Linked DNA regions of Rattus norvegicus. The protein of the gene in region 2 interacts with the protein of the main gene of each other region in a pairwise test. Links are inferred from orthologs where the notes say so. Each region holds a gene or a part of one and is shown on either strand. Other genes may lie near its edges.

The links.
Region 1: the proteins of Nudt18 (region 2) and Nadk interact in a two-hybrid assay, tested with the Homo sapiens proteins (2 studies listed by BioGRID and IntAct). The two-hybrid records come from large-scale screens. The link is inferred for Rattus norvegicus from reciprocal best matches to the Homo sapiens genes NUDT18 and NADK.

The regions. Positions count from the first base shown.
Region 1 is NC_086023.1:171,425,725-171,433,062, reverse strand, and holds the start of Nadk (NAD kinase), read right to left. Parts: upstream 3,687-7,338; 5' UTR 3,400-3,686; intron 1-3,399.
Region 2 is NC_086033.1:52,057,095-52,064,432, forward strand, and holds Nudt18 (8-oxo-dGDP phosphatase NUDT18), read left to right. Parts: upstream 1-3,202; 5' UTR 3,203-3,279; coding exon 3,280-3,441; intron 3,442-3,485; exon of another isoform or gene 3,486-3,763; intron 3,764-3,918; exon of another isoform or gene 3,919-4,262; coding exon of another isoform or gene 4,263-4,304; intron 4,305-4,371; coding exon 4,372-4,585; intron 4,586-4,793; coding exon 4,794-5,389; 3' UTR 5,390-5,728; downstream 5,729-7,338. UniProt on the Homo sapiens protein: Mediates the hydrolysis of oxidized nucleoside diphosphate derivatives. Hydrolyzes 8-oxo-7,8-dihydroguanine (8-oxo-Gua)-containing deoxyribo- and ribonucleoside diphosphates to the monophosphates. Hydrolyzes 8-oxo-dGDP and 8-oxo-GDP with the same efficiencies.

The DNA of each region.
Region 1 (7,338 bases), on a different chromosome or scaffold from region 2:
ACATAAAATAAGTCTCTAAAAGAAGCGAAGTGGAAACTATGGCTAGACAAGGTTATATATGCTGAGGCAGCAGGTGGGGGTGGGTGCACTTAGCTAAACCTGGTGCAATTTGTTGTTGTTGAGTAGCCCTGGCTGGCCTGGAAAAGCATTATGGAGTATGCATCAAGAACTTATAAATGTAGCCAGAAAGACATCAATATTGAAATAGGTCAATAAACTCATGTACAACAGGAACCAAAAACAGGCAGGGACACACACACAGAGCCCCACAAGAGACTTAATACAAACAAGTTCAACTTCACGTGAGCTTCGCAGGAGAATCATAAATGAGAAGTAAAGCCAGGCAGGCGCGTTGGTACGCACCTGTGACCCAAGGACTCAGCATGCAGAGGTAGGACTGCAATCTGTGCTACTAAAGTCTGAGTCTTTAAAAATAGAAGGAATGAAGGAAGAAATGGGCAGGAGAGAAAAAAAAAGAAAGAAAAAGAAGGAAAATTAGTGAGAGTAACAGGGAAATGGTTAACTTCATTAGTTAATACCAAGTTGGAAAAGTTTCAAGTTCTTGTTTTATGAGACAGTGTTGCTATATCGACCCTACTGGTACCACAGTGAGCCACAATGGCCTGGTTTAGTGATTACCTAATACCTACTTCATTTCTACAAATAAATGATATCCAAGCTAGCAGACAGGTGGGGGGGGGGGAGTGTGCTGTTTCTGGAAAGTTCTAAGGAATGGGATTGCAGAACCCATCTATCTGGTAGTGGAAGTGCTTCACGGACCTGAAGGAGCCATTCTGGTCTAGGAGGCTAAGTGGTCGGGTGTTGCCACATTTTCTACTGCACCATGGAGGGCAGCCTCCATGGATCAGAATATAGGACAGTGATAAGGTAAGCAACAATCACAAGAATAAGAATGGCTTCTTGGGGTTGAAAGTGACACTCCTTCAGGAGGGTCAGAGTCCTATGGTAACTGTAAGCAGATCTCATAAGTCCTAGAAAGTGGAGCCTGAGATCACAGCCCGAGGTCCACCCTCTTGTCCTCCCAAGGCACCTCCTCACAGTGTTGAGCATTTTGAACAACTCTCTGGCTCTCTTGCTGCTACACCAGAAAGCAGACAGGGGTGGAGAGATGGCTCAATGGTTAAGAGCACTGGCTGCTCTTCCAGAGGTCCTGAGTTTAATTCCCAGTAACCATATGGTGGCTCGCAACCATCTGTAATGGGATCTGATGCCCTCTTCTGGTGTGTCTGAAGACAGCTACAGTGTACTCACATACATAAAATAAATAAAAGTCTTTAAAAAAAAGAAAGAAAGAAAATGGAGGTGAATCCATTTCTACCACCTAAGGGACTGGAGAGAAGCCTCGACAGTTAAGAGGCTTTTGTTGCTCCCAGAGAACTTGAGTTTCCTTCCTAGGACCCAGGGATCTGACACCCTCTTCCTGCTTCCAAGGCACCCATACTCTGTGCAATAATAACCACACACACAGACACACATGCGTACACATAAACTCAAAATAAAATAAATCTTTAAAAGAGTGGTGGTGTAAGTCTTTAATCCCAGCACTCAGGAGGCAGAGGCAAGGGATCCCTGAGTTCAAGGGCAGCCTAGTCTACAGAGTGAGTTTTGGGCCAGAGAAACCCTGACTGGAACTCCATCCTCCAACCCGCAAAAAAAAAAAAAAAAAAGGCTCAGAAGAAGTCACAGTGCTTACATAGACAAAGCCTTGGGCTTCATCCCAACACCACATTAAAACAAGAAAAAGCTCAACTGGATATGGTTGGTTCATGCCTGTAAATCCCAACATGCAGAGATACACACAGGACAAGAAGTTCAGAGTCGCCCTTGGCTACACAGGGAATTAGAAATCAGCTTGGCATACATGAGGTTATGTCTAAAAACAAATGACCAGAGAGATGGCTCAGCAGGTAAAGGCACTTACTGCCAAGCCTAATGTCTTGACTTTAATCCAGGGAACACACGGTAGAAGGAGAAAACCAACTCTTGGAAGTTCTTCGACACATGAGCAGTAGTGAGTGTGTATCCATTCCCATTTAAAAAAAAAAAAAAAAAAAAAAGGAAAAGAAAAGCCACTGGCTTCTCTCCATTCTCCAAGTGAAGCCTAGAGAACTAATGTTCATTTAAGTACTGCTGTTTTATCTGTTATCCATGTCTACCCAAAGGGAGAGGTGTGAGATGGGTTGCGGCTAAGTGGGACACGATCTGGGCTGGATCTGTAACACTTCAAACAAGATGAAAAGGGAAAAAGGAAGAAAACAGCAGTCCCAGTGATTGTTTTTAATAAATAAATCTACAAAGGAGAAAAAGCAGAAGCATCCCGAGATGCCACCTCCAAAATGAAGCTACTTGGTCAGACTGTATATTGGCACCTGTCGCTGCCCAGAGTCCAAGATGGGTTGTGTAAGTCACAGTGAAGTGTCTGCTGAGGACAAATATACTAAACTCCAAAGGACGGGCCACTAAAGGCTCAGAAGAGCTATGTTGAGAGGGAAGGTCAGATGTTTTTAATTAACTAAGGCAAGGATGCCAGCGTCGGGCCCGTGGAAACCGACAGTGATACATAAAATAAATGAGTATAAGTTTGAAAAACATTCTTCTCAAGAGCCAAGCCAAACGAATAAGTTTTGAACTGAAACAGAGCGTGTTCCCAAACAAAAAAGGAAAAAACAATTTGCTATTCAGAATCACAGCCAAGAGAAAGCCTATTGCTTGGGAGAGCTAGGAAGAGACGCCTGATCTTTGCCAAGGAAAGACGGGCCCTGGAACTGAGCTGGGCGCGCCCTATTCGCACAACTAAGAAACCTGCCAGAGGCCAAGACAAGCGGCCTGTGAGTGTGACTTCATGAGAGGCAGCTGCCTCTAGGAACATCTCCATGGACTCTTCAGGACTTTGGAAGTTTCTGGCAAGTACTGGATACTAAGTTTACGATGGGATCTTGGAGAATTTCACACCCCGACTGCTTTACACAACGCTTGGTTCACTACTTTGCACTAGCTTTGGCTTCTGAAGTTTCACATGCCAAGGCCTCTCCTGCTTGCTAAGGCCCCATTGGAAGACCAATGAAGCTGAGTCGGCTGCGGTGCTGCACGCTGAACTGGCCAGGAACAGATCGGCGGCCTACCTGGCTTCTCCCAGGACCCGAACCTCTGACTCGTCCCCAGACCCATTCCCGGACCTGAACCTCAGACCTGTCCCCTGGGCTCGTTCCCGAGACCACACGTCATCCTGGCCACAACCCACATTCGGACGCAGGGAGGCGCGTCAGTGCCACCAGCACCCGGCCTCGGGCAGGTGGGCAGGGCCGGCGCGGTGACCCGGTCTCCACGGGTCCCGGCAAGTGACGCCCGGCAGAGGGCGACCCCAGGCCCCGCACTCACCGTCGGCTGCCGCGCGCCCGCGTGGACGTCTACATGCTGGGCCGAGCCAGCGGTCCCTGCTGCCCTACTGCTACCTGGCTCTCAGCGACCCAGCCGCCCGCCACCCCATGGCCGCTCGGTCCAGAGGCCGGCACCACCAAGCAGAGCTGCGCCGCGGATGTCAGTGCGCAAGCGCAGCCCGCACGCATGCGCAGTAGAGCACGTGGGGGGGGGTAGCGCGGCGCACCGCACCTACACAAGACAGGCACTCAAACTTTGGATTTCGCCAAACCCTTTGTAGGCCAAGGATCAGAGGCTGTGAGAGAGAGAGAGAGACGTAACGAGGGAGGGGCGAGGCAAGGAAAGGAGGCGGGGCAGAGAGGAAGTGGGCGGGACAGGGGGAGGAGGAGGGGCAAAGGCAGAGCAGAAGGGTCGCAGCAAAGGAGCTGAAACAGGACGTAGCAGAATAGGATGGGAACAAGGGGGCGGAAGACAGCACAGGAGGGATGGGGCCAAGGTTGGTAGAAAGGGACAGGGCAGACAGTGGGGGAGGGACAGGTTGCAAAAGGGCGGAGCCCAGGGCTGGAGGGACGGAACTAAGGAGACTAAGCGGGAGGGGAGGAGGGGACAAAGGGTGGGGTTGTCCGGGAGGAAGTGGGAGGCGGGGCAGAGGAGGCAGAGGGGGTAGAGGGTGAGGGAGCAAAAAAATAAAAAAAGGAAAAAAGGAAGCCTAGCCTAGCCGAGGAGGGGCAAAAGGCTCTGGCCCAGTTCCTATGACTGTCTCGGCTACAGCAGAGAAAAACACCACCAGATTCTTTCCCTCTTCTTGCCTCCTTGCCTCGCTGTTCGATCTTTATTCCTGTCCTACATCACGCTGTTTGCTTTTTGCTGGCGAGGTCTCCAGGACCATGTAGTCAACGCGGGCCAGCTTGGTGGGAAGGTGGGCCTCGCGACAGATTCCTGTTCCCACCTTGTTCTAAATGGCCAGCGCATGGACCTGGTAGCCTTCAGAAGCAGAACTCAGGTGCCAGCCATGCCTGGAGCATCTGCACTCATTTGGGTCTCAGGCCCACCAGCAGTAACTTGACACCCTTTGGAACTGGCAAAGCCTCTAGGACTTAGGCCTGAAAGTAACAAACCTGACAACTGGCTGATACATTGGTTCGCTACTTTAATCCCAGCACTGAGAGCCCAGGATTTCTAGGAATTCGAGGTCAGCAGGGGGTACGGTAGTGAGAGACTCTGTCTCTAAAAGAAAAAAAAATTCTGATAATTGAGAAGTGACTGTAAACAGCGTGCCTCACCCCCACAGCTTTAAGAGCAGGAAGGAGGGAGGCCATTAACTCACTTTGTAACTGATCCAGGAGTATGCTGAACTGGTGGACACCCAGTTTATGCATCAGACCTTAGACATCCAGCAGTGTGCATACATAGTGCACCTGTAGGTGTTTTGCAGTCTCCTGGCTCCCGGCTCCGTAGTTTTCAGATGGTCACACAATGCTACATTTGTCAAGACTTGGCACCCTGCCATTGCCCTTCCTGTAAAGCCCAATTTCCAGGCACACAGCCTCCATACCTGCTGCAGTCAGGATGTTCTCTGGTGGGAACTCCTGAGACCTGTGTGCTGTCCTTCCAAAAAGAACACATCGATGCAGTGGGGACGAAAAATTGTGGGTAGGGAGGATGGTGGGAAACTGTGGGGATTTCTTAAATTTTGTAACTTCCTCATGAGTTTTGTAAACCTAACTTCTTCCCCAGAGTGAACCCCAGTCACACCCACCAAAGGCTGAAACTGTGCTTTTGTCTATCATATAATAATAATTTTGATTGATACCTAGTGGTAAATGGCAGGCATATGGCCAGGGACGGAGAGATATCCAGAGTGGGAGTAGTCATATCCTTCTGCAAAGGCACCCAGTCTATGGTCTGCAGTCCAAGGTCACACACCAAGTAACCTGTCTAGTCTTAAACTAAAATAGCGGATGTCCAGTAGTTGCTGGGGAAACCCTTTTTCTGTAATGGGGTCAAGGCCTGGACTGTGCAGGTGGCTTCTCCATTTCAGAGGAAGCTGACATTGTGCAATGTCTTGCTGGGAACCACCAGACTCTGAAGACTCAGGAACCAAGTGCTCACTCCCCCAAGTCAAAGGCTTGGAATGGCAAGAGAGTAAGTACTTAGACTCCTAGAGTGTTTAATCAGGGCTGGCTTTAAAGGGCAGCAGATCAAATGTCACATGGGGGTGAGGCACCAGGAAGAGATCAAGGCAATTATACATATTATTGCTTTGGGCCTCCAATACCTGGACTTCCTCCTCCTCAAAGGCTAAATGATAAGGGAAAGGAAGAATGAGATGAGAAGTAGAGGGATCGGCCTCTGCCTAAAGTCAATTTTGGGTGGGGAGTTGGGGGGATGTCAGTCAGGTAAGCTCTCAGGCACAGATATGGGGGGGGGGGGGGACTATGTACCTCTTTGGGTCCTGCCTTAGTACTGAGTGGGAAGTTGGTTTCATGTGACCAGGGTGGGGCAAACAGCTGAGTAAAGGCTGTCCAGTACTAAATAAGGCTGACAGTTAACCAGAAGAGTGTATTACAGAGCAGAGTTGATTGCCATGGGATACTATGAAGTCATCTTGTCCATCCTCCAACAGTGTACTTGGCATAGGCAAAGATCAATACTGATGGCATCATCAGGAGCTAGAGTCTCCTTATTGGGGTAGGTGAGGGGCAATGTTATTATCCCTTCTTCAGCCAAATCAGTGGGACAGCTGCCAGGTATTCAACTTTTTGGGTGCAGCAGGGAGAGTAGGACCCAGCCTTGCCTAGGGTACTTAGGAACAGATGTCAGGCAAGGGAACAGTGGTTTCAGGAGCCTGGGTTACATAGTCACCAGCTGTAATCTTACACTAGGAACTTTTTTCTCACAGAATCCCTGCTGACTATTTACTAGTTCCCACATGGGGAACCCGAGGGCAAATACCTTGTCCAAGATCACCCTGTGTAAAGAGGCAGAGGCGAAAGGCTGCTGGTTGCTCTTGGACCTTGAGGGGTTGGAGGGGTCTAACAGAATGCTGGTGCTGCCAGGTTGAACTGAGAATCAAGGGGCACAATGACGGCAGGATGAGAGTAAGACCCAAAGGAAACAGTAGAGGAAACAAGCTGGACTCAGGCCAGCTTCTGGCCTTTTATCAGGATCCCAACCTAAAGTATTTGGCAAATAATGAGGTGGCTCCCTTTACAGGGCAACAGAATTGGAACCCTGGGGTCATGGAAGGGCAGCCCATGCACTGGAGACAAATGAAGGGACACAGCAAAAGTGGGTTTAAGATACAGCAGCCTTGGGGTTGGGGATTTAGCTCAGTGGTAGAGCGCTTGCCTAGGAAGTGCAAGGCCCTGGGTTCGATCCCCAGCTCAAAAAAAAAAAAAAAAAAAAAAAGATACAGCAGCCTTGGGCTAGAGAGATGGCTCAGTGGTTAAGAACACTGTCTGCTCCTCCAGAGGTCCTGAGTTCAATTCTCAGCAACCACATGGTGGCTCCCAACCATCTATAATGGGATCCAGTGCCCTCTTCTGGTATGTCTGAAGTCAGCAACAGTCTACTTACATGAATAAAACAAACACATCTTTAAAAAAAAAAAAAAAAAGGTACAGCAGCTTCTCAGCTGCCTGTGTGCACCTGAACAGGTAGGCGTATTCCCAGCATGGGCAGCAGACTGGGCGACTACACACAGGGTACCCTAGCATCTCAGCATTCAGAGCATGAGTGATGTTAAATGCTGGATGTAGGTGTGTAAGCCTGAGCATTTGTGGGGCCTGTTGCTCAGGCCTTTGCTGTTTGGTCATTGAGGCTGCCCACATATTCAAAATGGACATGTTTTTCAGTTACTGCTTGCTAAACAAGTGGGTAGTAGTCTTGATGTTGTTTGAGAAGCAGGACAGGCCTTCTGAGACAGAGACAGACCTA
Region 2 (7,338 bases):
CAGTGTTCACTTGTTCTAGGGTTGGACCAAGAATAGAGCCAGCCCAGGCAGTGTCTGACCCTGAGATGAGGGCAGGGCCCTTGTTGGCACTTTTCCCTGCAGAGGCCCTGGAAAGTCTGTGGCTCCTTGTCTTCTCTCTGACTTACCATGACACCCGCTAAAGAGCTGGAAGTGAGCTCTGGGTCGTATCTCTATGCATTGGCTGCTTTTCTCTTTTCCTTACAAAACTCTCCTACATTTTGTCTTAAAGTAATTGTAGACTTACATTCAAGTTACAACTATAGCATGGATCCGGGTGTGGTAGCACATACCTTTAATCTCAGCCTCAGAGGTAGAGGCAGGTCAATCTCTGTGAGTTCAAGGCCAGACAGGGTTACATTATGAGACCCTGTCTCTAAAAAAACAAACAAAACAAAACAAAACAAATATAACACATAAAGCTTTCAGTCATCTTGACCTAGTGCTCCCCAGTGGGAATATCCTATACATAGTCCCTTTACCACTGCCAGGACCTTAACAGCACATCCAAGACCTAATAATCCCATTCAGGAAGCCACAGCCTTACTGGAATCTCACCAGTGTTCCCATTTTTGTCCCCTTTTGTGTCCCAGGGTCTAGAAATGCCTGTGTCTGATCTACATGGTGACTGTGACTCCTCCAGAGTCATTTAAGGAACTACTAATACAGCCCAAGTCCCCTCCACCACTGCCCTTTCACCTGCCTCTTTGTCAGGAGACAGGATTTTCTACATTCCCAGCCCTGTCCCCGTGTCCCTGACTCTGCCTACCTCATATCTCCCAGCTCACAGGCCACATACATGTGTGCATGAATGCACCCTAAGATGGCCTTCTCCCATAGGTGCTGGGAGAGCTGCACTAGTTGGGCTATGTTAGTCTGAGGCTACCCACTCCATGGGTGTTCTCCACCTCAGAGGAGAGAAGACATACTTAGAGGGGGACTATCTCAGCTTCCTTCCCTGTCTCATGATCCCCTTTCTGTCCATGACTCACTCACCTGTCTCTGACCACTGCTCTTTATCCCAAGGCCTTTTTGGTTACTTCCCCAAGCACTCTGGGAAGGACTGTACCCCCTTCAAATGCCTTCTGTGTGTCCCATTCACCATTTACAAAGGGCTTTTGGTGTCTGTTGCTTCAGTGTGGCTTATGACAAGGCAATTAGGTGCTCCGCAGCAGACGAGTGTTTTCCCCGTCCCCCATGATAATGGGGAATGGAACTGCGGTTGTGGCAGTCTTTGCTCTTCCAGGCAGTTGGGCCGGCTGCTGTTTATCTTAGGATGCTCTCCCAGCCTGCCCAGACATGACCTCACCCTCTCCCAAATCATCCCTGGGAGGCAGAATGGAGTCTCTGACCAGTGCTGCCTCCATTTCACAGATGGGAAAACTAAGGCAGGGGGGTGTCATGGATAATAGAGAAAAGGGAAGGAAAAGAGTGGAAAAAAGAAAAGAGGAGGGGAAGAGAGTAGAGGTGGGAGAGGAGGGTAGGAGAAGAGAGGTGGAGAGGCGAGGAAAGGAGGGGAGGGGAGCAAAGAGCTTTAACAAGTGGATCTGCACCCTGGGGCCTGATCTTGCCCCTCTGCCATTGACTAGGAGGTCTTTAATGGTCTTGAGTGCCATTAAATACTGCGGGCCACTAACTGTGTCCAATCTCACACAGATTTCCTGTCCAGGGAGTTTGCAGTTGGCATCAGCGTCAGGGAGAAAGGCTGAGACCAGTCCTGTAGGGCCAAGATTGCCTGCCAGTCAAGTCTACAGAGCACAGAAGTGTTTTTGTTTTTTGTGGTGCTGGGAATTGAACCCAGGATCTTGTGTATGCTAGGCAAATACTCTACCACTGAGCTACACTCCCCAGTTTCCTCTGTGTGTGTGTGTGTGTGTGTGTGTGTGTGTGTGTGTGTGTGTGTGTGTGTGTTCTCGCGTGCTGGTGTGTTCTATGGGCTATGGCTTTGATATCCTACCTAGAGAATAGGTGGGCTGTCTGGTTCAAATAGTCAGTCCACAGCTTCTCCCAGGCTGCTATCTTGGCTTCTCAACAAGCATGGAAAAGGAGGGCTGTTACAGACCTACTGTACAGATGAGGACATTGAGGCCACCCAGGACACAGAGCAAGTCAGCCAGGAGTGGCTGGATGTCTGGTTTAAACTCCAGAGCTGTGTCAGCACCACCAAGCCACTGTCCCCCAAAGGAGGTACACAGAGCCAGCAGAAGGCTGGGAGGAGGGAAGGGAAGGCAGGGATGGAGTGAGGAGCCCAGACTTGGCCTGCTCTGTGGATTCCTCCCAGCTGGCCCTGCCTTCCTGTCCTGAGTGGAGGTTAAAGAAGCTCAGAGGAGGAAAGGTCAGGCTGGGAGAGAAGCAGGAGCTAGCCAAAACAATCCACACCCTGTTCCCCATGGCCAGGACCTGAACGCTGGGTAGGAGGGCACCACCCCTGCCCTCTAAAGATGTAGTCTGCTTCAGAAGCCTTGAAACTACAAGGGAAATGCATTGAGCATAGGAATCGGATACAGGCTACAGTGCTGACTTAAAGCTCCTTTTCATCCCCCAATAGCTTCTTCTCATTCCAGCCCTGTCCCACCTTGACCACCTGTCCTACCCCTCCTCTAAGGCCTGTCAATCATGTTTTGTTTTGTTTTATCCCCCAAACCAACCCTTTAGCCTAGGACTTTTAAAATGGCTTGTGTCCGTCGACCTAGACAGAGCAGAATTCCTAACGCAACGTTATGTGTCTCAGAACATTTTAACGAAGTCAGAAAGTTATTTGGGGCCAATCTGTCCTGAGCACTTCTCTAGTTTGTTTATGGTAAAAGCTGGACCGGTGGGAGCAAACGGCGGAGCCTCGGCTTCCGTAATGTCATCGGACAAGTGACGCCATCGACCCTGGTCACGGTGGTGTTCATCACCCTACAGGCAGGATGACATCACCGTCGGAACCCGCACGGACAAGTGCGTGCTGGGTGAATTAGCTAATTGCTGGGGAGAGTGTGGAGTGAGCGACCAGCGGCTAAACCCCGGGAGAGGAGGGGGCAGAGGGAGGATCCCGGAGCCCCGCCCCCTCGGTAACCGCTGCGAGATGGCCAATCCGGGCAGGCCGCAGTGATGCGCAGCCTATCAGAGACCAGATGTCTCCCGGAGGTTCCGCGTTAGACTTGGCCCTCAAGGCAGGGGGGGGGGGGGGGGGGAGCGGCCCACCGCAGCTCAAGTCCCTGCTGCCTGCCTCCGGGGGTCTGGCAGGTCCCGGCCTGCCACCTCCCCGGAGACTTGATGGCCACGGAGGGCCTGGCAGGGGCGCTGGCCACCGTGCTGGGGGGGAAGGGGTTGCTGGTGCAGAGCTGTGACTCGGAGCCGGCTGGCAAGCCGCTGTTGCCCGTGCGACTGCGGAAGAATGTCTGCTACGTGGTGCTGGCCGTGTTCCTCAACGAGCAGGTGAGCGTCCGACGACTAGCCAGCCTTCGGCTGGTCTCGGGAGCGTGCCGCCTGCCCTGATCGAAACAGGCGAGCCAACGGCCGCTGCCTGTGCGTGGCGATCCCAATGTTGCAAAGCACTCTCACACTAGCAACTGAGCAGAGATTGTCCTTATATAGACTCTATAATATAGAAGAAGAAGCTGAGGTCCCGGAGCAGTTATCTCATTCACTAGACCTCGTCCCACACCAGGAGAGGCCTGTAGTATTCCTCCTTCCTTTCCAGGAGTCTAGCAGTGCCTGACATGCAACGGGGATTTCCTGGACTCTCCCGGCCCCAAGGGTAGAAATGGGAAGCTTACATGCAGGCCTCCGACCCTCAGAGTTCTTTTTAGTGATTACCTCTGTATAAGTCAGCGTTATAAAATCCTGGCCAGGGGTTGGGGATTTGGCTCAGTGGTAGAGCGCTTGCCTAGCAACCGCAAGGCCCTGGGTTCGGTCCCCAGCTCCGGGGGGGGGGGGGGGGGGCGCGGGTATCCTGGTCAAGTAGGGGTAGGCTGGTATGGAGGTGGAGCTGAGTTTCAAAGCCTCAGATCTTAGATTGAGGATCTGACACAAGCGGTTTGTAAGTCACATGGAAACAAGAGCAAGACAGTGGCATAAATGAGTCAGTATAGGAGTGGTGGCAGCCTTCAGGATGAGGCCTCCTTAGAGCAACGCCCAAGGACCTCAGACCCTTTCTACAACAGAAATTCCTCCGGGTCCAAAGTTGAGTTACAACAAAAAGGAGGCAGCCACAGCTCTCAGCCTCACCAGGGCCTGGCTCCTGGGGATCCAGCATCATGAAGGTGTCTCTACTAAAGGAGCTTTGGACCACCATCCAGGTAGGAGCTGCTCTTTTGAAGCTCCCAGATTAGCTGGAAAGTGAAGATTGTCTTGCTTCCCTCTCAGGATGAGGTGTTGATGATCCAGGAGGCCAAGAGAGAATGCCGGGGAACATGGTACCTCCCGGCAGGAAGAATGGAACCAGGGGAGACCATCGTGGAGGCCATGCAGCGGGAGGTGAAGGAGGAGGCTGGGCTGCTCTGTGAGCCAGTGACACTGCTGTCTGTGGAGGAGAGGGGTGCCTCTTGGATCCGTTTTGTATTCCTTGCTCGACCAACAGGTACAACACAGCTGGTAGCATTCAAGCACCTTTCTTATTGTTTCTTCTTCTTAGCCAGCCATACTGTGGGCTTCTGCACATTGCCCAGGCTAAGAGGCTACAAGCTAAGAGTTTTGGGGTCTCCTGGGGGTGTTTGGGGGGCCATTTACTCTCTCAGGCTCTACACTTCTCATATTGGCCCTCTCCCCATCCTCCAAATCTCTCCTAGGTGGAGTTCTCAAGACTTCCAAGAATGCTGATTCTGAGTCCCTACAGGCTGGCTGGTACCCACGGGTCTCCCTGCCCACACCGCTTAGAGCTCATGATGTTGTGCACCTGGTAGAGCTAGGTGCCAAATTCTGCCAACAAGCCACACACCCTCTCATTCTGCCTCAAGAGCTTCCCTGCAATATGGTCTGCCAGCGGCTGGTGGCCACCTTTACAACAGTTCAGTCAGTGTGGGTGTTGGTGGGTACAGTGGGGACACCTCACTTGCCCATCACTGCCTGTGGCTTTACCCCTATGGAACAAAGAGGTGGCATCAAGGTGGCCATCTTGAGGCTACTACAAGAGTGTCTGACTCTGCACAGTTTGGCAGTGGAGACCAAGGGGTTGCTTGGGCTGCAACATCTCGGCAGAGACCACGTGGATGGTATCTGCCTGAATGTGCTGGTGACAGTGGCTTTTCGGAACCCAGGAATCCAAGATGAGCCCCCAAAGATTCGGGGGGAAAACTACTTTTGGTGGAAGGTACTGGAGGAAGACTTACAAAAACAGCTTCTACACAGACTCCAGGAATCTTCTGTTGTCCCCCTGACCAGATAGATACCAGCAGTGACCAAAAGCTGAGCAGCCACCCTCCCTCTGAGGCAGTGAAGAGACTGGCAGTCAGGGGTCTCATTGCACATTACTCAGGTACAGGAACTACACATTGAGCCCAAAGGGAGGGTGCCATGAATCCAGTCATTCTGAGGGCACACGATGCTTCTCTTTAAGTTTGAAAGGAGCTTTTCGAACCGTAAATGGCACCATCTTCTCTGTCCACTTTGGAAAAGGCCGCATGTCAATCCTTCCAACCCCACAGCAATGTAGAGGGGGATGGGACAAGGGGGATGCATCCCTCAGGGCAGAGTCCTCATTGCTGAGTAAAAAGGTGTTGCTTAACTTGCCTACTTGCCTAAATGTCTGTGTGGGGAGGATATGGGGCATTGTCCCACCCATAGCCACCCAGGTCTTTCCTTACTGATTCTATGCAGGGGTGTAGGGCTCCTGGAGTAGACATTGCTCCTCACTGAAGCCTCGACCCACCCAGGCTCTCTTTAGTGTTTCTGTCCTGTTGGGGCAGGCGTGGGACTTTGAAGTGACCACACCCCTAATAAAAACAGAGCTCAGACCTGTCCAGGTGGTGAATGGTTTGGTCTGGTGAAACTGCCTATGGAACAAGAGCTGAGGACGACACCTTGGCCTCTGCCTGCCTTTTTCTCTTTGTGCTTCCTGGGCCCTGACCTGTTGTTCCATGTGCTTTCTGGTCCTGGGTTTTTGGTTCATGCCCTATCCTCAGTTCATGTGCCCCAGGCTGACTGTGAACTCTTATAATGTAGCTGATGATGACCTTGAATATCTGATCATCCAGCTTCTGTAAAACTCAAGCACTTTTATCAACCGTTAACACTCCCAGGCCATCACAGGATTCTGTTTTCTTGAGATAGACTCTGCCCACATAGACCAGGCTGACCTCAATCAAGTTTGTTGTGATCTTCTGCCTCCGATTCTTGAGTCCTGGGAATACAGATGTGCTCCAGAGGCCAACGCCAAGCTGCTTATCATCATCATTATTATTATCTGATGAAAACCTTGAGGCTGGAGAGGTGGCCCAGCTCAGCATTTAAGAGCATGTGCAGCTCTTTCACAACCACCTCCAGTTCCAGGCTTCCTAGCACCATCTCTGGCCTCTGTGGGCTCTCCACTCAATGTGCACATCTCCAATGCAGACATACATAATTAAAAATAAAAATTTAAATAAAAGCCAAAAGTAGTGGGGCAAAGGAAATGTATCACGTGTTGCTAATCATCGCATCTAGGGGAAAGATTTCCAACTCAGAGGAGCAGGGAAACACGCTTCCTAGCATTCCTTTTTCACAGAGGACAGGATTTAGCTTGAGGAGCCAGAAAACTCGCTGATCCTTTGCCTCGTGCCCCGGGCCTCCTTTGGTAACCATCTTGTCTGGTTTCCAGAGAGGAATCTTTAGAATCTCTGAAGACATTTTTCAAATGCTAAAGCAACGCGAAGTGTGGTGGCATATGTTTTTTTTTTTTTTTTTTTCTTTTTTTCGGAGCTGGGGACTGAACCCAGGGCCTTGCGCTTGCTAGGCAAGCGCTCTACCACCGAGCTAAATCCCCAACCCGGCATATGTCTTTTACCCCGACATCTGGGAGGCAGAGGCAGAAGGATCTCCAGGAGTCTATAGAGCAAGTCCCAGGACAACTAGTACTACAGAGAGGCCCTGTTTCAAAAGGAAAAGGAACAAAATAAATGGAAGTCTTTCCTATCTTTTTTACTTTTGGAGTGCTGTGGGTTGAGCCCAGGGCCTCACACATTCTGGGTAAGCAGGCTACCTAATGATCCCAGTGAAAAACAAAACCTTTTATTCAGGTCAGGACTCCTTCAGTTCCTCCACACACAGAGAAGGGCAATGACATCCACTCCCACTATTTAGCCTCATAGGTTTGTTTTTTTTTTTTTTTTTAAGATTATGTGAGTACACTGTTACTCT